Schizosaccharomyces pombe: one gene and its partners. The gene in region 2 interacts genetically with the main gene of each other region. Each region holds a gene or a part of one and is shown on either strand. Other genes may lie near its edges.

Region 1 (6,169 bases), on a different chromosome or scaffold from region 2:
TTTTTCAAGTGTCAGAGAGCTCAATGAATCAAACGTATTTGCTCGTGCTCCAAATAAGAACCGATTCTCATTTGCTTCAGTTGCAGAGACTGGTAGTGGCTCCAATTTTTCCAGGGCTACCTCTTCCAGAAGTTCAAAAACTCGTAGCGTCGTATATGAACCTAATCATAGGCATACCAGCTTCTTTGGGGACACGCTTAGTAACCTATCTTCCTCGTTGAACGATAAGAAATCTCCTAATGACGATCATGCAGTACTAGATAGCGAATTAATGGAGCAAACTTTGCCGGACTCTGCCGAGGCGGTAGAAATTGCTAATAATGTGAAAGAAGATATTGTTTCTACCGCTAACGATGATGCCAATGAATTGGATAATACGAGTGAAAAAGCTACTTTGGAAACTAGTTCAAAGCCTGTTACGGAACAAGCAATTGAGCAATCTGAGGTTGTTCAAGAAGTCGAGGAGGGAGATACGAACATGACTACTAATACAATTTTGAAACCAACTGACGAAATTATTAATAAGGGTTATGCGTATTCTATAACAAGCTCACACTCGAATCATTCAAATGAGAAGTTTGAACAAATACCTAGTCCTGATGAAAAGCTTTCTCGAACAGATATTGACACTCATGTCAAGCAATTACAAACTACTAAGTCAACTGATAGCTTGTCTATTCCATTTGTTGAGTCTCCGCAGCAAAACCCAGAGGAAGAACTTTCGGACTCACTATCTAACGATTTTGGAATCGATGCTGAAAAGGAGAAGGATGAAAACCTCTCAAAACCGGAGCATCATCCATCTATAACTTCTGTAAATTCACCATTTCTTTATTCTCCTAGTAAGCAGCCCTCAGGTGAGTTGGATGAAGAAAATCTTAAACTACGATTACAAGATTCAGATGTGGATGATGAGGTAGCCACAATTCGTTCACTTAAACAAAATAATGCTACCAATTCGGAGGTTGAGACAGTTACGAACGATCCTTCTTTCTCCCAACAACCGGGTACTCATAGTCGTATTTTGCGAAATTTTGATGCTATCAGCTCTATCGATTCAATACCTGATAGCTTTTCTGACAGCGCTGTCGATTTGCCTGTCGATTCGTCAAAATATACCCTTGTTGGAAAAACTCAAAGTAATTCCAATCTACTTCAGGACAATGCTGAGAAACATATTTCAAAATCGAACCTTGAAAAAGTTGATGTGAAAGGAGATACATCACCCAATTCTGTCGAGCAAGGGATTGAACCTCAAGCTGCTTCTGTTGTTGGATCTCCACGCTCTTCTTTGGTTTCTAACAACTCCCTAGAGGAAGGAGCACTATTGAAAAACTCAGAAAGCTTGGAAAGTATCTATGGTTATCTTTCGGAGGAGCCCGATCCAGCTCTTACCAAGTTGAATACCGAAGACCCTTTTTGGACTAAGGGGTCATCTGACGATGAACATACAATAGCCTCTGTAGAACAAGACGTATATCCATATAAAACTAGTCTTCCAACTATTGTTGAAGCGACTACTTCTCACACTGAGTCAAGTAACTCAAAGGCTCCCGCAATTGAAGAAACGACAACTACAAAGGTCGAAGTGGTAGCTGCTCACGATGCAGTTTCAATATCCAGTAATTCCAGTACACATAAGTCTCACTCTGAACCATTAAATAGAGATGAGTTAGAAGTTGCTGCCTTAAGCCGTGGATCCTTGCCAGAACCTCCAAAACCCAACAAGCAAATAGTCGTTCAGGAAGAGGATCAACGAGACACACTATCTCTAAAGACAAGCACGACAGGTTTATCTTCTCATTCTAAAAGTGCTGAAAATAATTCAACTCAGCAGTCGACCACTTCTCCTAGCATTAACTCCGGTGCTTCAGCGGATGCTGTTTCTTCTGGAATTTCCAAAAAGGCTGATAATAGTGAAACTAATTTAAATTACTTTGCTACCTTAGATGCGTTTGTCAAGAGTCCATTGATGTCGTTCGATGGATTGGGTGAATTAGGTTCTACCGATCAACGTTACAACTTTTTCAATCAAAAGATTCAAGAATATTCAGCATACGATTCGGGCCTTGATAATTGGATTCAGTTTTGCTTAGAAAAAGATGGTGAGGCTCCAAAGGAAGCTCCTCCTCCTCCTCGTTCTGAGCCAGTTTCAACTACAACCAAACTTGCCAAAAGAATTACGCAGCCTTCGTTGAGTCCTGCAAGGTCAACTGTTACTATAACTCACAACATTGCTACTGAAGCAAAAAAGAAGTCTAAATCTGCTGCTAATGATATTTTACATTTGTTTAAGAAGAAAGCAAAAAGTGAACAATCAAACGCCAAGTCGTCATCTAGCTCTATCAAAGAATCCAAAAAGATGAAAACTCTTTTCGGAAAAAAATTGGGATTCAAATCATAAATCTTTTGCATACACTTTTTACCTAACTTTTTTCTCTCTTTTGTAATTTTCTAATTTATGTATTGTTTACGAAGCATTGCATTTCAATCAATAAGATTTTATCTAAATATTGTTTCATTTTCGTATTGCGCATTTTTGTGAAACCATTTAGTTATTTTTATCAGACGATGAGTTAAAATATCAAGCATATTCTGGTTTTGCTGCCACTTGTCTAAACCAAAATAAGAAACTGGACGAAAAACTTTCGACAAATTCAGGCTAGTACACAAAACAAAACAATCGAAATTAAATATTCATCATTTTTTGGGATATTCTTTCGTTTTCTTGGTGTTTTAGGATTCTGAGTACGCTGCTTTCAAGCTAAGTTTCATTAAATGGATGTCGGCTGAAGAATACATTGAGGTATCATCTTCTCCTGATATATTCACGGACGTATGAAAAAAATATGATATTCTATAGCAAATGATTAGAAATATTACATTGAACTGAAGTAAATGTATATTAACTGAGCTTTAGGATGATGACATGATAACAATAGAGCCAGAGCTAAACAAAAACCCTAAAGATTGTAATAGTAAACGAAAAAGATCTGTTACTGAATGTTGTGAAATTAGGCTGATAACTTCTAAATGTGATTTTGAGTCTACTCAACAGCTTGTGCATCACAATTGTACGGGACATAAGGTTCATGAGCACAACTTAAACGCTGTGGATGAAGAAGATTTTGATACTGAAAATCTCCCTCTTCTTTTTTCTTCCTTTAGCGACAATGAATCAGATATCTTAGAACCCGATCTTAACACTCGGGTAGCTGAAGATAATGATGTCCTTTTATCTAGATACAGCAAAATTAAAAATAGTGCTTCATGCAGAAATACTTTCGAGCACTCTGCATATCACTCAAATAGGGAAGAAATATCTTCTAGTGGTTTTTATTACCATAGGAAGCCTCAATTGTTCGAAAAATCTTTAGAGAAGTTAGGAAATAAATCAATTGAAGCCAACAGGAGTCCTCTTATAAAAGAACTTTGTGAATCGGCTAATTCTACTGAAAACGTTTGTTTTTCTGTTTCCACCGTTGATGAAATTCAGCAAAGGCATCCAAGCGCCGGTCATTCAATAGACTCAACTTGTCAGTCAAACTCGTTTCTTGAAGGCGATAGTGCTACACATAAGAAAAAAAAAACGGACAATATTAAAGAGTTTACTTCATGTGAATTTAATGACCGTAGCAGAACCCTGTTAAACTATGCCGGTTACATGGACACTAACAAAAACGCTGATAATGAAGCTAAATCATTAAAAGAAAAGTTGGAGAATTTTCCGGTTGAAAAATTACGTGCTATAGCGGAAAGTTATGGCTTCAAATCATCAGATTCGAAAGCAACTCTCATTAAGATAGTAGAATCTTGTTTGGATGCAATCGATAGCCGATCTCAGTCTAAAAAATTAGGCAAAGAAACTCCCCATGATTATTTGATAACTTCTACTAAAACAGTATTGGAGTTTGATGATATAGTGACACAGACTCATAGAGCAATTTCGCAAGTTGTTAAGCAAGCCAAAGACAATAGTGTGTGGATTAAAATTCTTACGTATTCTGCTATTGATGTGGAAGAATTTCAACTTTGGCTGAAGCGGAAAAATTTAAATGTTTCGCTAGATCTTATAAAGTCTTGGTGCGATAAGTATGGAGTACTCATGAAAGGGAGTTGGCATTAGCTAGCTAATCAGTGATTTTTGAGTGAAAATTGATGGTTTTTAAAGCAAAACAATATCATTTTTACAAAAAGATTTTGGATTTTTGAGCATCAAAATTAACAGCAAACAACCCAGCTTTAGATTTAAGTCAATTCAAGTCCTGTTTTAGATAAGAATCGTCCTTTGCAGCAGTGCTGAGGAAAAATCAAGATATCTTTTATGTGTTATAACGAGTAACATATATTATTGGAATCAAAAACTAATCATTATATCTTGCTTGGTCTTTGGAAACAGTTTGAACTGTTTGAGATAGCTTGTCTATGAACTATTTTGGAATATTCGGTATACAAATTTAGTACTATAACTTTTTTGTTAACACCACGTTTTACAAGGCAGTATACGTTGTTAACTATGAAAAAACCGTAACTCCAATTTATGTAAAATATGGCTTCTGTATTGTGATATTCAACCACTGAACTTCTTTTCATATGTCAGTCAGAATGCCAAGTAAATCCAACTGCTGCTCTTTTAGTATAAATGTACTGACTACAACAGTAAAATTGGTCTTTCATATAAATCTAGTACTGCACCTTTACAGCGGGCTCATGACGGACTAGTGATAGCAATTCAAATGAAGATGTTATTTCATTCCTATATCTACTGTATCTTTTTCTTAAGCAAACATAAAGTGTTTTGCGTATTTGTTGCATACGCCACTATATATTTCGGTGACTGACGTGCATATGAGGTGTAGACGCAGCAGCACCCATATATACATTCCAATTCCCACATACTTCCCTTCTTTGATCGAAATTATTGCATCTTAGAAAGTATTTATTTTGAGTATTCAATTTGATTTTGTTTTTATTTTTGTAACCAGATATGATTGTTTTACACCACTTAAAGAACTCTCGCTCTACTCGAATTGTATGGATGCTCGAAGAACTCAAAGTGCCTTATGAAATCAAAGTTTATGACCGTGTCGACGGACGTGCTCCCCCAGCGTATACTAAGTTGTCACCATTAGGCAAGAGTCCTATCGTTGTCGATGACGGTGTCACTTACATTGAAAGTGCAGCCATTTTGGAGCACCTGGTCAGAAAGTATGGACCGTCATTTAAACCCTCAGAAGAGGATGTTGCCGAATTGGAAAAATATGAATTATGGATGCACTTTTCTGAAGCATCTCTTATGCCATTTATTTGGGCAAGTCATGTTTTGGATCTTAGTGTGAACATGACTCCCATTTTCTTTCGTTATATTGTTCGCCAGTTTGTGAATGGGATAAAATCCAAGTATCTAAGTAAAGAAACATTTTTGAACCTTGACTACATTGATAATCACCTCGCATCGAACGAATACTTTGCAGGCGAACAGTTCACCGCTGCGGACCCGCAGATGTGCTTTCCTATATTTGCTGCTCAAAGAGATTACCTATCTCAGAAACCTTACAAAAATATTAAGCGTTGGATGCGGGTTGTCAGTGATAGGCCTGCATGTCGAATTGCTGCTGAAAAAGTTGAAGACAATACGTTGACTTTGTTTTCTGATGTGGAAAGGTACTCCCATCCCCCTACCCCTCCTCCCGAGCAAGTTCGCTCTGATGAATAAGATTTCTGCCGTGGCTCTTTTTTTCTTAAGCAAGTCGGCTTGAGACATACAAGGCTTCAGCAAGCTTACTTTTTTATTCTGCTTGTACGGAACTTATGCTGTTAATGTAGATAATGATTTGTACAATAACTAGGATATTGTGGTAACTACATAAAAATTTTTGCGACACCCCTTTTGAAATGATTTTCCGATGCAAGAAACAAGGCTTCGGTGCTTAAACGCTTGGACTTTTCTCTCTTTATCTGTCTCCCTCTCTATACATATATATATATATTATATACGCGTATACATCTAGTTTTGTGAATGGGAACATGTTACTGTTATTTAGTCTGAAAAAGAAGTTATGGTTACAAATCTTGTTTTTGATTTAATGTTAATTTATATATGACTACTTTTGAATTCAATAAGTTTTGCTGCTGTTGCATGAATTGTTTAACTAGGTAGTGAAAACTT
Region 2 (5,402 bases):
TCTTCATCTACAGAACTTTTCAAGGAAGTGTAATTATTCTTCATAATAATAAGATCATTCTTTATTTAATAAAATACATGCGCGAATTAATTGCTATAATTGCGACAAACGAAACAGCGAATTCAAGAATATTCGCTCTGTAGTCCAATTCCAATCGCTTTAAAGACTTTTTAACAAAATAATAAAATCGTTCAAACAAATTTCCAACTAATTCCTTCAAACAATGGCATAAAAAAAGAAGAACGAGGCAGTGAATTACTTCTGACACATTTATTTTGTCACTGCCCTTTTTATTCACCCCAACTTAGCTTTCCTTAAACGTTTTTGAGAAGCAAAACGTTGTAGTATAATATAATGTCAGCTACGCAATTTGGTATCTGATTTAAGGATACGTAGTACTGCGGTGAGTTTTCCTTGTGATCTATCATATTACATTACACAGGTTATATGAGTAGCAACTGAGTATAGGTATTGTATTAATTAGGTTATAATGTTACCTATCACTAATATAGCTCATAACTGAACTGAGGAACGAGGTTCAGCAGTAGCTCTATTTATAGTATTCAGATAATATAGATCTTAATAGATTATCATTAAGATCAATCTCAATATCGTATCATGCATGGTACTATATATAATTAGAACATGTGACATATAGTGATACGCAACGTAGTGTATTATAGCGTAGTGTAGTATTGCTGACAGTCACAATGTTTTATTATGCTATTCATTATTTTGTAAACATTAAATTTGTTTGAATTAAAGCATATACAATAAGCGACATGTTTGGTTCATCAGAAAAACCAAAATGGAGGGAAAACCGTACATAGCAAAAGTATTAATGAAACAACTTTTGATCGAGGTTGTGAAGTAATGAATCTTATAATTTCATAAGTTGAGCTAACTGTTTCTGAAAACGGTTATTCTACGTGGTGATCATCATAAAGCTCTCGTATGCAAAAATATAATGAGTAGTTTAAACTAATCGTTAATACTTTCAAGCAATTTGCTAGTCAATGCCATTCGTATGACAGACAAAGTATGCAATAAAATCAAAGGTCGCAACTTGTTTAGTGATCTTATTCATAACGAGAATGCTACAATTCATCTGAATCTTCAAGAAAATACACCTATAAAGTTTTGTTAGTAAAACAACTCATCATAAAATGTCTCCCATGCAACATACCACCGCTTTCAATATCCTTGCGATCCAATCGACACTGCATGATCCTGGTTTTACTACATGGTTAGAATATAATAACAGGTATATAACGAACATGTTTCAAAAATGAAGATAAAGATGCTCATAGTAGCAAAGGAAACATGGGCAAAGAGAGATGTTTTCAACCCCCATTGCTCGCCAAAACTGTCTTTTAGACCTTTTCGCACGAAAAAGCCAATGATGTTGAATATAAGCACTTGAAGGAAAGCAAGAGGCGTGTTTTTCCACTTCTTAAAAATGTGCTTGATTCCATCTTTGCATGCCTTGGTCCAAAAATCATAGTAGCCTAATGAATTAGTTATTGAGTATAGTACAATTCCATGTCTCACTTACGCATTAAAATAAACAAAAGAGCAAGGCTAGCACAGAACCACGATAAACGTTGCATTACGTGTAAATCGTCCATAGAAACCATGTTATACTGTAGACAACCAAAGATAACAAGATCAAATATACAGACTATGGAAATAGATATCACAAAAACAAATAACAGAGGCACCTCATTACTATACACCTTATTAGATGAACAAGTTTTCCGACATTTAGGAGGAGAGTTGCTATTGTCATGGCCTACAGAGGTCGTGGATTCATTGTGATTGAACGTTTGCGCTTCAAGGTCCATCGTAGGATCAGGATTGATTAAATATGAAGAAGCTACGAATAGTTAATACAAATGAAAAAATTAGTTCATTGGGAAAGGAAGACGAACGTGCGTGCTATTCTAGAGTTGATTGCACATAACGTTCACTAACAGTTAGACAAGAAGTAAAACTTTCTTTACTATTGCATTTTTTTATGATAAACAATAAACCGTACCTGAATTTGAAGGCAAACCGCTCTCATTCTCCGAATTGTATTTTAGAGGTAAACCTTTTTCCAAGTCAATATCATTTCCTAAATCAACTCCATTTTCCGATTCCATTTTCTCTTCCACATCTACCGAACTTGTCAAGGGAACGTAATTGCTGTTCATTTTCAAGGAAAGGATAACTTGTAAGTTCAATTAGATTTATGCACAAATATACTTTAATTGCTAGATCAAGACAAAACAAAATAGAGAAATCTAAAAATCAACCTGTAACTGAATTCCACTAGTTTTCAACGACTTTTAACAAACCAAGCAAGTCGGTCAAATAAGTTTTTTCAAATAACGGCATTCATGAAAAAGGAAAAAGGAACAACACTCAATGAGGCATTGCATTTCTTTACTGACACCATCATTTTGTCACAATGATTTTTTTGTTTATTTCGCTGTGTGTAACGATCGATGGTCGATCATCCAAACGCTATATCGGGGTTTACTGCTAACTAAAGCAATCCGTAAACTGCTCGCTACGTAAAGTAATTTGTGTTGCTGTAAGGTTGTAAGGCAACTGAACGTCCAACATAGAGGGCGAGTGTGAATGCAAGTAACGAGCTAAAGCGATGCGAGGCATTACCATTCTAAAATCTTGCAACGTATTTCTTAAAGTACTTTGCCATTTTCATTTAACAACGTACACGGTATGCATCGCAATTCTTCAACATCCCAGCACCTTTTACTTCGTTAAACTTCCACTCTTTCTTCTAATTTATCTTCCACAATGAAATCAGTCTTACTAATAATGAATGGATGAATGGCCATGTGGATGGGGAACGATACAATCCCAACCATGGACCCCATGACACCATGCTTACTCATGTACTTGCCATTTGCCTCTGTATAAATTCGGCATGGATTTGCTTTGCAGAAAATTTTCACGTTTGACGAATCGAGTGGTACAGCAACGTTTTTTCATCAGAACCATGTCCAACACTCATATTACCGATTGGAGCTCAAAGGATGGCGAATTTCGAAGACAAGTATCTTCCTTTCGAGAGAGAATCTCACCTGAGCACAAGTATTTCCAGCCAGAAAAGGACCGTTATCATCTTTACGTGAGTTATGCATGTCCTTGGGCTCATCGAACACTGATTGTACGAAAACTCAAGGGTCTAGAAAATGTGATCCCTGTGCATGTGGTAGGCTGGCTTATGGGACCGAACGGGTGGAACTTTGATAAGGAGAACGATAGTACAGGGGATCCCTTGTACAACAGTCCGTACCTTCGCAATCTATACTTTCGCGCCGATCCCAATTACAATATGCGGTTTACAGTGCCGGTGCTGTGGGATTCCAAGTACAACACGATAGTGAACAACGAGAGTGCAGAAATCATCCGTATGTTTAATGATGCCTTTAACGAGGTAATTGAGGATGAGGAGAAGCGGGTGGTCGATTTGTATCCATCGTCGCTGAGGACGAAGATTGACGAGTTGAACGACTATTTCTACGATACCGTCAATAACGGCGTCTACAAGACGGGGTTTGCCACGACGGCAGAGGCGTACGAGAAGAACGTGCGCGTTGTGTTTCAAGGGCTCGATCGACTGGAGCAGGTTTTGAAGGAAAGCAAAGGACCGTTTCTTCTTGGAGATCATTTGACAGAGACGGATGTGCGATTGTATACGACGATTGTACGCTTTGACCCGGTATATGTACAACACTTTAAATGCAACATTGGTACCATTCGTCACAACTATCCTCATATCAATCAATGGTTGAAAAGACTATACTGGAAGCATCCGGCGTTTCATGAAACTACAGATTTTAAACACATCAAATGTCATTACACCCAAAGTCACACCCAAATCAATCCATTAGGCATTACTCCTCTTGGACCCATTCCCAATGTCGAATATTTTTGAGTTTATTTTTTTTGAAGAAATTCCAACAAGTTGGAATTTGGGTTGAACGATTGGTTATGGGGTTGAAAATTCCAATTCAACGAGTTGGATTGGAATTTTTGTTTTGTTTTGTTTGGATGCGTGCTTTTTGTGTGCAATACCAATGTCTCTGCGGGTTTTTCGTTTACGAAACGTTAAACTAGTTAAGCTTCAACCGACCGAATTGTTTGAAAAGAGAGAAGAAGATGCTTAAAAAGTACCGAGTGATATTTCCGCTAAACAAGTACAATGGGAGGTTGACGAGAAGAATGTAAAATGCGAGTGTGGTGCGAGTGCGAGTGTGAGTGCGAAAGCGAATGCAAATGCAAATGCAGATGCGACATAGAAAAGAACGTAAAAAGTAAACACACAGCAATTACAAAGGAAATGAAAAGTAAATAAAATAGGTAAAATAAAGCTAATGCTAATGCTATTCCAAACAGTGCAAGACAGTATCGTATTGGATTTGTATTGAGAAAGGAATTGTAAAGAAACAGTAAAAGAGAGTTGTTTTCAAAACAAGTTCAAGTTGGATTTGACATATCCCTTAACGAAACCGAAATGGAAACCGAAAACCAACCGAACCCCAAACCGAACCCCAAACCGAAACCGAAACCGAAACCAAAATCCAATCCCTATCCCAATCCAATCCAATCCAATCTCTACCCCGTTTTAACGAGTTGCAATTTCCACCTAAAAAAGATTTTCCGCGTAAAAGAAAAAAAAAGTGGGAAATTCTATAAATAGTACACCTTTTGACCGCTTCCTTACGTCTCCTTAAGCCTGAAGTTCTCGTCCATCCGCTGATCGTGCTTTTGTCCACAAAATGCCCCGCCGTTATCAATGAGTCTGTGATTGGCTACAAGAACTTGTCCTGTCAGGTTCCCACGGCAAGCCTCCCAACCACCGAAGGGGTGTGGCAATTGTTCCCCTCGTTTGGGATCTGTGTGGACGGGGATTGGTGGAGGGCTACTTTAGTGCAGAATCTTAAAACTCCACCAAAGTACACAAAAGCTCGTTAAGATAAGGAGGAGGTCCAATGAAGCGTTAAGGAAAGCGAGGCGAGAGTCAAAGTCAGGTGGACAGGGGAAGAGGAGAGAGAAACAAACGAAAAGAGGATTTTGAAGAAACCAAGTGAAAAGAAAATGAAAAAGAAATGGAATGAAAGAAAAGAAAAAGAAATGAATATGGAAATATCGTTGATTGTTTGGAATGGATTGTTGTTAATTTTAGTAATGTTGATTTTTAATAATGTTAATTTTAGTATGCTTGATTGTCGAGTATTTACTGGCTTGGCTTTAAATTGTGTTGTCGATATTGTTGATATGATCGATTGATTGTTGTAATGTAATCAATATTGAAAATCCATTTTTAACTCTCTCTACAAATGCTCACCCTGGCTCATCTATGCTTGCTTTTTTACTGACACTTGCCT
Region 3 (6,016 bases), on a different chromosome or scaffold from region 2:
CATAAATCAAAAGGAAACGACAGCGTACTTAAACGTTATACGTTATTTAAATTTAAAAAACTGCTTAACGTATGCGTAAACATTCAGCAGTAAAATGGAGCATTCATTAGTGCATCTACTTTACTTTTAAAGCATAATTAACATTTCAACTTTGCATTTCGAGATACGTATCAAACTCTGTGCAATGGTATTTCTCCACATATAGAATTAGAAGAAATATATGTTTATGTAGATTAGCCTCTCTTTTTGTTTTGAGTTTGTTTTTGCAGTTGTTTGAATCGAACACTACAAAATTGAAATTGGGTCCAGGCAGTGCATTAATTGGCAAATCATGCACGATGAATCACGAACTAAACAAATATCTAGTATAAAAGCGCTCTTAAAGAAGTGGGAACATGAGTACGTCCATACGAACAATTGCAAACCTTCTAAGGAGGATGTGAAGAAACAACCAGAAATAGGTATGTAAGCCAAAGATACACTTGAATTTTTGAAGCAAACTAACGAACTTTTTTAGCGCTTTTATATAAGCAATACTACGAGTTGAAACGCGAATCCTCCATTACCCCTAAAAAAGCAAAAACAAAGGTCGACTTTAAGTTTCAAACTCCTACAAAACAGCGTGCTGAAACTGAAGCGAACGAGAGTCCTAAAGCGCCCCGAAATGATTATCTACAGGTTACTCCGAAAACTGTGGATAAAAGTCTTTTAGGTCCTACTCCACAGTTGTCACGTCGAGTACTTAACCTTCTTGAAGACATGTCTCCCATTGCAGATTCTCATGTGGATCAAATTTCGGATATAAAACATAACACTAGTGAAATTTCATCAACTATGATACCGACTACTCCATCAAAAAATCCCGAACCTGTGGCTCAACATACTCCCACCGTTCTTGAAACCCCCTCTTCATATCGCCTTCAAGTTTATACATCTCCTAACTTACTTCGAGTTAATGCGCCATGCCGAAAAAGTCTCAGTGAAATGCTTCGTGAGTTAAAAGATATTGAAGATGATTACGGATCAAATGAAGAGAAGATATTGCAGGAGTTTGAAAGCTTTAGTAGCTCATCTTCAGAAAGCCTTGTAGATAGAGACATATCACAACCTATGAAGAAAAAAATTAAACGACAAAATCGTCTTGTTAAATGTAAGGTTTTCTCCTGTTTGTACCTGAACTAACGTTTTAGTGCCCCCTTCAATGAATCTTTCCAAAAGTCATTTAGAAGGTCTTCCTGAAATAGACGAAGATGCGGAAAATGGCATTGACGACAATGAAGATACAACTGCTAGCAAAGATTCGTCACCATTTTTAGATCTGCAGAGTGAACGACAAAATAAAAAGATTATGAGAAACGGGCTTGTTATTGGAAAACAAGTAAGCCAGAATTATTCCTCTTACAAATTAAAAAAACGTAAATTTCGGCGTCACAGAAGCTAACATATAATTTGTCAATCGGAACTTTGCTGTTGTATTTAAAAAAACACATACTTTCTGATCTTCCTTAATAGGATATACACTTTTTCAATGAATGTTAAAGAGGTATATATATTTAATAAATCATGCATTCAATAAAACCTGGAAATAGATTTTGTGGGTTTTTGAGATTTAAATGAAATAATACATCATGAGTTTGTGGTATCCTGTTAAAAAAATTTTGGAAATATAAAAGTTTGAATGAATCATATATTTCTTGTTCTTAATCTTCGGGTAAAATCAAATTAGTTACTATCGAACGATAAACGTTTTATATTTTTACGTAGGCATTCGTCCAACATTAAATCTAAGACTGGAACGTTTTGATATACGAATATCATGAGGACGTAAGGAAAGAAGAAGTACAAAAAAAATCGAACCTTCAATATTGAAGCTGGCGAGAAAGACAAATAAAAAAACAGCTTCAAATAAGTTTGGATCTATTGAAATGAGGAATACATGAAAGCTGAATATCATCATTACTTTACATGGATTTGCATAGCTTATTCATCCTTAGGGGACAGCGATGCCAAATTTCCTCTTAACTAAATTTTTAGACAACCTAAACACCATACGTTGATGCTAAACTTCAAAACATGAATAGTCATTTCCAAATGTCATTTACAACTTAAGAAACCATGCTTTAAATAATAGATAGCTTATAAGATACAGGCAACAACTGTAATAGATTTTGGTCGCAACTCTTCAATTGTATTCAAAACATAGTTCAACCTACAATCAAGTTAACAAATCTTTTTAAAGACAAATAAAAGGGCTCTAGATAATCAGAATCCAAAAGAAGTGCATTGTGTAATTAACAAATACAGTCAATACGTTTCATTGTTTAAGGTAAACTTCTTTACTACGCTCTCTATATATTGTATTTTATACGGGGATAACATCAGCTCTTGTAGCTCAGTGGTAGAGCGCTTGCCTAGTAAGCAAGAGGCCCAGTGTTCAAGTCACTGCTGGAGCAGTTTTTTTTAAATTCCTACTTGATGCGGAATTGAGTAGAATTAATAAAACTAGCACCTGTGCAAATTATCACCATTTCATAATAATAGCTCCTATTAAACTGCTGTTCACCGTTTCTTTTTTTGTTTTCTATCACTTCGTAATCAAGTTTTAGTTCCTTAACCTTTGTCAATGAATGTGCTTTGCAGTTCGTTAGCAATGCAATAAGGTAGCATTCACTTTGCTGAAGTATAGTGGTCATGAATCGGTACCAACCTAGCCAAAACCAATACCATGTCTGGTATATCCAATGCAGAAAATGGTAAGGCAATTGTGTCTTCTGGAGTTTTAAATTCCGTTTCAGCATTTGTAAGGCGCCATAGGACATTTGTTTACACTATTGGTGCTGTTGCCGTTTTTGCTACAGTTGGGGGTGTTTATCATGTACAACAGAAAAAAGCTAGTCATAAACGTTCTAAAAAACTTAAGGCTCATCAAGATAAGGCTGAATCCAAAGTTAATGAAGGAAAAAATGAAGCTGCAAAGGTCGTAAAAGAAGAGGATCTTAAAAGCTCAGAAACTGGAAAGGATGTTGAAACAGCAGCCGCTGCTGCTGCTGCTGCAAAAAAGAAGAAGAAGAATAAAAAAAAGGTTAAAGCCAAGAAGGTCGGCGATTCTTCTGTCGATAAAATTGCTACTGAGGAATCGGTAAAATCTATGACGAAGGAGGAAAGGGCAAAATTGGCTGCCGAGTTAAAGACTCTTGGTAATAAGGCTTATGGACAAAAGGAATATGCTAATGCTATTGACTATTATACTCAGGCTATCACCTGCTCTCATGACCCTATTTTCTTCTCTAATCGTGCAGCCTGTTATGCAGCCATCGGTGATTTTGAGCAAGTAATTAAGGATACAAGTGAAGCTCTTTCACTTGATTCAAGCTATGTGAAAGCGTTAAATCGTCGTTCTGCTGCTTATGAGCAACTTGGTAAATTGGATGAAGCCCTTATGGATAGTACCGTTTCCTGCATTTTCGATGGCTTCGCTAATGAGAGTATGACTGCTACCGTTGAACGATTGTTAAAAAAGGTTGCTGAAAAGAAGTCGTCTGCTCTTTTAAAGGAACGTCCTCCTAAATTGCCAGCTGCCAGCTTTATCCAGACTTATCTCGATTCATTCCATGCTCAACCAAAACCTTTGTTTGATAATAAATTTGACGGTGATGCTGCTTTAGCAGAGGCTTATGAATATTTAGAAAAGGGTGAATATCAACTTTCGTACGATAAAGCAAAGGAATCCTGTCTGGGATCTTTCTCATCTCCTTCGGTTAATGCTCGCACTCATAATCTAGTTGGTACTTTTAAATTTGTATCTGGTGACTCTAAAGGTTCGATGGAAAATTTTAATGCAGCTATTAAATTAGATCGCAAGTTCATTCAACCATATATTCGTCTCTCAGCCGCTTATTTAGATGAAAATGATAATGAAAAAATGTGGAAGGTACTGAATGATGCAGAATCTGTTGATAAAACCGATTCGGATCTTTATTATCATCGTGCACAAGTTAGGTTTGTTTCTGGTGAGTTTGCAGAAGCCATTTCTGATTATCAAAAGTCTATTGCATTGGATGACTCTTTTATTTATAGCCATATCCAACTTGGAGTAGCTCAATATAAGACTCATGCAATTGCGGAATCAATGAAGACATTTGAAGATTGTAAAAAGAGGTTCCCTAATTCAAGCGAAGTTTATAATTACTTTGGTGAAATACTCTTAGATCAACAAAAGTTCGATGATGCTGTCAAGAACTTTGATCATGCAATTGAGCTTGAGAAGAGAGAACATCTAACAATTATGAGTGCAATGCCTTTGATTAATAAGGCTCTTGCTGTATTCCAATGGAAGAAAGATATATCTCAAGCTGAAAATCTTTGTCGACAGGCTCTATCGGCTGATCCCGAATGTGATATTGCAATTGCCAGTATGGCTCAATTCCTATTGCAACAAGGTAAAGCTCGTGAAGCCCTTGAATATTTCGAGAAATCTGCACAACTGGCTCGTACTGAAAGTGAAATGGTGAATGCGTTTTCATATGCTGAGGCTACTCGTACGCAAATTGCCTTGACTGAAAAGTACCCACAGTTGGTTGGTCGTTTAAGCAATCCTATGTAAACGAGATTGTATATGAGAATTACTGTTAGTCAAAATAAGCAGTTGGCGAAAACATTTTGAATGCTTTAAAAAGGTTCCAATTTTAATGTGGCTCGGAAATTTTTTGTTTGGATGACAGCAAGTGCTGAAAATCCTTAAACCAAACGAAGTTTTGTATACGGAACATGTTTGCTAATGTATTCTGGTTGACGGATTTTTGATTTTAACTTGATTCTTAGGGTTAGCAATAATGATATTTTGTTCGCTACTCCCTAAAATGTGAACTTATTATTTCTTTGTACTTCATGTTTAGTAGGTAGTGTATTTATTAACGACAGCAATAGCAATGAAATATTATACCCATTGAGATTCAACCATTACAGAATGTTATCATAATTTAGGACTCTAATTTAATATAAAATGGTAGGTGTCTATTAATTCTCTTTACCAAATAAGTTGAAATAGGCAGCTGAAGGTTTTTAGGAAAACAATATTTGGTTTCGTCATCAAGGGAGATGTAACCTAAGGGAGATATAACGCAGTAACGATTTCTCACAATCTTATATAGTGAAGAAAAAGGAATAGAAGAATATCCTATTAGAGAATAGCAAGCATCTTGAAGTGCACACCACTCTTCGCCATCGTCTTTCAAACAACAGAGGAATTTTATAATAATTACACTAAAATTGTTTTTCTTGAAGCAATTGCTTGAGAGGAAGAGTTGGTTAACGAAACTGAAGGTTCACTTATAAAACAGTGAACTTCGTGTTTTATCACTCAACGTAATCTTGACAATTCCCATGGAACTCACAAGACCGTTAGGTGATATCTCCTCATCAGCTACAGTTACCATTGAAAGTACGGAGGAATCCGCGTCAATAAGCCATGAAGAATCTGAGAATGTGCTCCATTTACAACCGGAACCAGTCAGAAGAGTTAGATGGACGGTAAGCACTGTAGATAATGAGCATATGAATAAAAAGAAATCGAAAGGTAAGTGAAGTTCTGGTGATTTTACGAAGAAGAGAATAGGCCTTGTTCCATCCTTTGGCAACAAGCACAACTTTCAGACTTATATTGATTTTAAAAATTGGACAGTATGAGTCTATTTATACATATCTACATTCTTTATCTTTGATTTATCAAAGCACTAGAGGCTTGATACACGAACATAGAAAATTAAAGGATTTAACATGATGTGATGCTAAATATTACTAGTGTGCTGTATCTTTCACAAACAGAGAAAGTTTGATGAAAGTTCATCCGATTCAGATAGTGATTCGGACTCGGATTCCTCTTGTTCCTCATGTTGCAGTCGCAATGCATATGAACGCGCTTAGGTTGTTCGTTGAGTCCCCTATATTGAAAATGAGATATAAGTCATATGTCTTAAGTATTTTTCTTAATATGCCAAAAACCCAATTCCAACATTAC
Region 4 (4,791 bases), on a different chromosome or scaffold from region 2:
GCAAGCGATTGAATCTCAGCATCAGAAATGTTATCATACCCAAGACGTTCTTTCAAAATTTTGGCAACCAACCATCTATACTGCAAATGACCTTCAACAAGATCCCCCACATCGACATTTTCTAAAGTATTTGAATCAAGAGAAACTGGTCCAAGACCAGCAGCCGTAGATTGCGCACTGTTGACACGATACACTAATTGTAGTACATAATCAGAAGCAGAATAGACATTTACGAATCTCCCAGCGACAACGCATCTCATTTTAAGCCATAACTTAGCGTCAGTCGGCATAGGGGCGCCCATTACTATCACATTTTCAACTAGATTCGTCTCACCACGGTCAGCCAAATGTAGTAAACACTCAAGAATTGTACGTGCACCAAGCGAAAACCCAATTAAAGTCACTGGACGCATACCCTGAGCTCTAACACAAAGCGCATTGGCTAAAGCTTCACCGGCTTTGATGGATAAATTAAATGCAATTCTCCAGGAATTGCCTAAAATATTTCCGACTTTCAAAAGTGATAAAGGCCATAAAGCAGCAGCAAGAGGAGCTAATATCGTTCTACTAATAACCTCTCCCTTTACCCAGCCAAGTCCAGCAGAAAATAAGATTCTGGAAAGAGATTTTCCAAGATCAACTAAAGCTTCAACTTCAAATTTCAAAGCATATATGTCTCCCCAATAATAACTTTTATCTCCAACAGTTAAAGATTTCCAAGCAGCGTCTACTTCGTTATAATCCCCAAGCCATCCTGAGATTCCAATGGTAACCGGTAAATGCGATTGCACACTGAGAGGTATGAATTCAAAATCAGTGAGTCCCTTAGATACATCCCCCATCTGTTGCATACTCATTTTGGCTCCAAAGCCTCCAAACAGAGCAGTGATCATTGGTGCCGAAGTAATCAAAGTGCCAAGATAGGTTGCTCCAATCATAGTTCCCAAACCTAGACCAGCAAATAACGTCCCTAACCCAGCTGCAACAAAAGGTGCAGCTAGTCCACCTGTTAACCCAATAAGAGCTCCACCTGCCAGTCCAGCGAGACCCATTGCAATCCGTCTTCTCATTTTTCGGGTGCCCGAAAGTTCATACATTTCTTGATTGCTTTCCATAGTTTGAAAAGTATCTAAAAGCATAGAAGAGGTGATAAGCTCAGCCTTATAAACCACGATAGAGGACAAGCCCAACTTCTCTGCAATACTATATAATAAATTACGGGAATAAGGAGAATAATTACCCAATGAAAGAATCAATAACAGTAGACATTTAATAAAGCACTCGCTTTTCTCTGTTTCGGAAAACTGCCGAAATTTTTTTACTTCTACTTGATCCTTTGGAGTAGAGGGATCCAGTGCGCAACCTGTGCGATTTACAACTGCCATTGCCCAAGTGTCGAAGTTTTCTCTAAAGACGTCCAATAATTGAGAAAGATATTTTACTATTTCAGGATCCGTGTTATCGATTATTGACTCTTTCTTCTCTCGCATTTCACCAATTGTACTAGCAATTAAAATTGTATAACGAGTACAAGCATCATCGTCAAATAAGGATATGATTTTCTGTTCTGCCATATTATCTAAAAGAAGGAAGATATGAAAAGGAAAAAATTAAGTAATGTATGTTTTGATATGATTCGCATAGAATGCACAGCAGAAAGTAATTGTGCACCAAAAGTTTAAGAACTTCTGGTATCAGGAATTAGGAATGAAAAACTTCTTCTTTCAAAGCAAACCTATTAAGAACTAAAAAAGTAAACAATAGTTGAAAGAAAATGGTCGTAAAGCAAACTTGATATTGAAGCACTTAGCACACTAATGGAAGAAACGTCATAGGTTAACTCTCAATATAATGGAGATGTGCGCACTCACTATTTCAAGTTAAGGCACACCAATCTCGGCCACGATCAGCTTGGAAATGGCACAAGGAGGGTTCAAGGAATAGTGATACCAATGAAGCTAAAAAAATTCCAGAGCTATCTGAAGAGCCAACAGTACTAATAGCTAGTTCACGCTGACTACTCTCCGTAGTCTGCAAACTATGATACACGTTCACATAAACGGTACCACCAATAAGACCCTCAACGAATATGAGGAATAGTACAAAATGATAGCTGGAAGTAAGATATAGGGCCGACTGTAGTATAGTAAATAGAAGGATAATGAACTGTGTTATTGCCAATGTGCGCAAATATGGGACAGTAAAAAATGAAATGGAGGATCGCGATAGGAAAACACCAATCTGGTAAACAGTTTGGTAAGTAGGATAAAAATCCCTAAACGAAGAAAAGCCAGCTTTTTCGGGCGGGAATAAAAGAGTGGGAGCTACACCAATATTGATAGTATATTCTGAGAAGTATACAAGGAACTGCGGAAACATATGACTAAGAAGGTATGGTTGCATGAATATGAATGTTTGCTTCAAAGAATTAACGAAATTGAATGAAACGTGCCCTGCTCGAAGATCAATAGATTCAATTGGCGTATAATTGTTGTTAATTGAAGGTGATGTAGATTCAGACTCTGGCAACACAAAAAAGTACATGATCAAAAGGAAAAGCGGCAGAAAGCTAGAGATAATAAGTGTGCTGCGTACCGAGAAGTTAAACCATGTAGTCATAACCAAATAGGAAGATGCACCAAAGAGACCGGCCAAGCCTGTTCCGGAACTCCAGCACGGTAAAGACACAGAGTGATAACGACTTGATAGATGCAAGAAAGAGATTTCGCCAAAACTCGATGAAATGGCTGCCAGAGATACACCAAGCATTTTCGAAGGGACGGAGGAAGACCAAGCAATCCATTGCATTCCTAATATGGACATGAAAACACAAAAACCGATTCTCTTTGCAAACTTAAATTTATGAACATGAAGAATTGATGCTGACAACTTGCACGCCAAAGAAGGAACAATATTAGAAAGTAGTACCACACCCTTAGAAACGTTTGCGCCAACCAAATCTAAGGCAGCGGATAAAATTATCACGTAGAGAAGGTTGTTTAACAATCCAAAAATTAGGAAGCAACACCCTACTTTCGCATCTTTTGTTAACCTCAATTTAATCATGATTCGTACTATATTTAGTAGAAACTGAGGTCATAAATTTTAGTTTGAACCGGCAATACGATAGTAGACTTTTGTAAAGTGCTAGTCTACAAATTTGCTGTTGTTTCGCAAATAGCACACTTTAAAGCCCTTCTATCGATGACTTCATAGACGAGTTAACTTGTTACAAACTGTAAATAGCGAGGATCAACGAACTGAAAAGCAAGTCGAGATATGTTTAACATTTATTATTCGAGTAGCAATAAGTTGAAGAAAAGAACTCGTAAGCGCTTAAGGGTACAAAAAAAATTGAGTTTTTAGTAACTTCGTAAGAGAAAGGCTACTACCCTTCACGAATGGCGTATTGAGCGATTGAATTATTACGGTAATGTTGTCAGGTTCAAAAGAAACCGATTTTGAATGTTACACTGTTTTTTCCAAGCAACCGCTATCAAGCTAAAGCTTACCCTACTAAAATTTCAACGACTAGTAACTGACATGCCTTGCTTGCTGTGATCGAAAAGCTCCTAGTTTACTCATGCTTCGGTTAGCACTTCTTGAAATCTCCCAGGAAAACAATTACAACATCTTTAAATATTCTATTCACGTGTCTACAGCTTCTACTTATGAAGTTATTGTTTTTGGCACGAGATTTATTTTGGTTTAATTCCGATCTTCGTTTGCTTATGTTTAAAAACTCTAAATCGTAAATCAAAACAAATTGAATATAATATCGTATGAATGTGTCTTTACCGAACTACGGTTAACATCGTTATTGCATTATCACTTTGCTCAACAATAATATAAAATAGTAATACGCATGTATCTACTATAGATATTTCGTATTGCTTAGTCAATTTTTTTTTTTTTTTTTTACTAAATGAAGGTTTGACGCTCCGTTACGACTGTTTATAATAACGAATTGGAAACCGAACCGAAAAATCATCTCGTTCATTATCAAATTTGCCTTGTTTGCTTTGACCCATAACACATTACATTTAACAGTAATGGGATCATTATGTTAGTTACTGGGAATTATATTATGCTTGATGCTGTACTACAAATTTATAATACTGTCCATAGAAAGTGCGATATTGGCGTTTTAACGAGCGTTTCGCTATCATTCTCTAGTTTACAAATCGCACCTCACCATGGTTCATAAATCCAGCAGCTACAGCAAACAGCTGTTTGCAGACGCACTTTAGAGTTTGAATTTTAGAATCTCTTTTAAGTAAAGCTAAGAGACTTATAATCTCTTAGATTTCCTTTGGTTTTATATTAACTTCAATGAGCATAATGAATTATTATGCGATCACAGTGCCATCGACATGTTTCAACATTTTTTAAGCACATGCTGTTAATACTATTTAATCCACTAAACTTACTAATGAGAGTATCCTTTTAATCTACTGATAAACAAAAGGAGTTTTCGTGCTGTAAAATGGTAATTTTACAGTACCACCCTCTCCCTGTAATCGAAAATGCATACCAGATATGATGATGCACTCATTTTAACTCTCTTTAAACTATTAAAGTATATTCCATCATTTCCGTACCCTCGTTTCAGAATGTTCATATGCGACTTGTATAAACAACTCATATAATCTGAATGCAAAACTTCCCTCATTGTTAGAGATGATCATGTGTAGATCATCAAGTAAAAAAGATGGACGATGTGCGCTTCAATGAGTTAACACTCGCATCAAGCTTTTGGTAAAGCCTTTGACTCCTATTTTTTTTGCTCAG

What was found.
Region 1: mutations in gst4 (region 2) and slx4 together harm fitness less than expected from each alone (positive genetic interaction), as found in Schizosaccharomyces pombe (one large-scale study listed by BioGRID).
Region 3: mutations in gst4 (region 2) and tom70 together harm fitness more than expected from each alone (negative genetic interaction), as found in Schizosaccharomyces pombe (one large-scale study listed by BioGRID).
Region 4: mutations in gst4 (region 2) and btn1 together harm fitness less than expected from each alone (positive genetic interaction), as found in Schizosaccharomyces pombe (one large-scale study listed by BioGRID).

Annotation. Positions count from the first base shown.
Region 1 is NC_003424.3:3,115,614-3,121,782, reverse strand, and holds slx4 (structure-specific endonuclease subunit Slx4), read left to right. Parts: upstream 1-2,609; 5' UTR 2,610-2,782; coding exon 2,783-2,836; exon of another isoform or gene 2,837-2,920; coding exon 2,921-4,126; 3' UTR 4,127-4,903; downstream 4,904-6,169. Other genes in the region: protein Rng10, read left to right, coding at 1-2,404; glutathione S-transferase Gst3, read left to right, coding at 4,988-5,716. UniProt on the Schizosaccharomyces pombe protein: Regulatory subunit of the slx1-slx4 structure-specific endonuclease that resolves DNA secondary structures generated during DNA repair and recombination.
Region 2 is NC_003421.2:1,396,172-1,401,573, reverse strand, and holds gst4 (putative glutathione S-transferase), read left to right. Parts: upstream 1-2,825; 5' UTR 2,826-2,935; coding exon 2,936-3,949; 3' UTR 3,950-4,386; downstream 4,387-5,402. Other genes in the region: wtf element Wtf11, read right to left, coding at 1,098-1,130, 1,187-1,239, 1,278-1,508, 1,556-1,876, 2,039-2,195.
Region 3 is NC_003424.3:2,430,667-2,436,682, forward strand, and holds tom70 (TOM complex subunit Tom70), read left to right. Parts: upstream 1-2,713; 5' UTR 2,714-2,725; coding exon 2,726-4,603; 3' UTR 4,604-4,957; downstream 4,958-6,016. Other genes in the region: drc1 (DNA replication preinitiation complex assembly protein), read left to right, coding at 332-461, 518-1,150, 1,191-1,441; SPOM_SPAC6B12.13 (protein phosphatase inhibitor), read left to right, coding at 5,383-5,575, 5,801-5,922.
Region 4 is NC_003424.3:2,048,587-2,053,377, forward strand, and holds btn1 (battenin CLN3 family protein), read right to left. Parts: upstream 3,163-4,791; 5' UTR 3,067-3,162; coding exon 1,876-3,066; downstream 1-1,875. Other genes in the region: protein Mil1, read right to left, coding at 1-1,574. UniProt on the Schizosaccharomyces pombe protein: Involved in vacuolar transport and vacuole pH homeostasis. Also required for cytokinesis.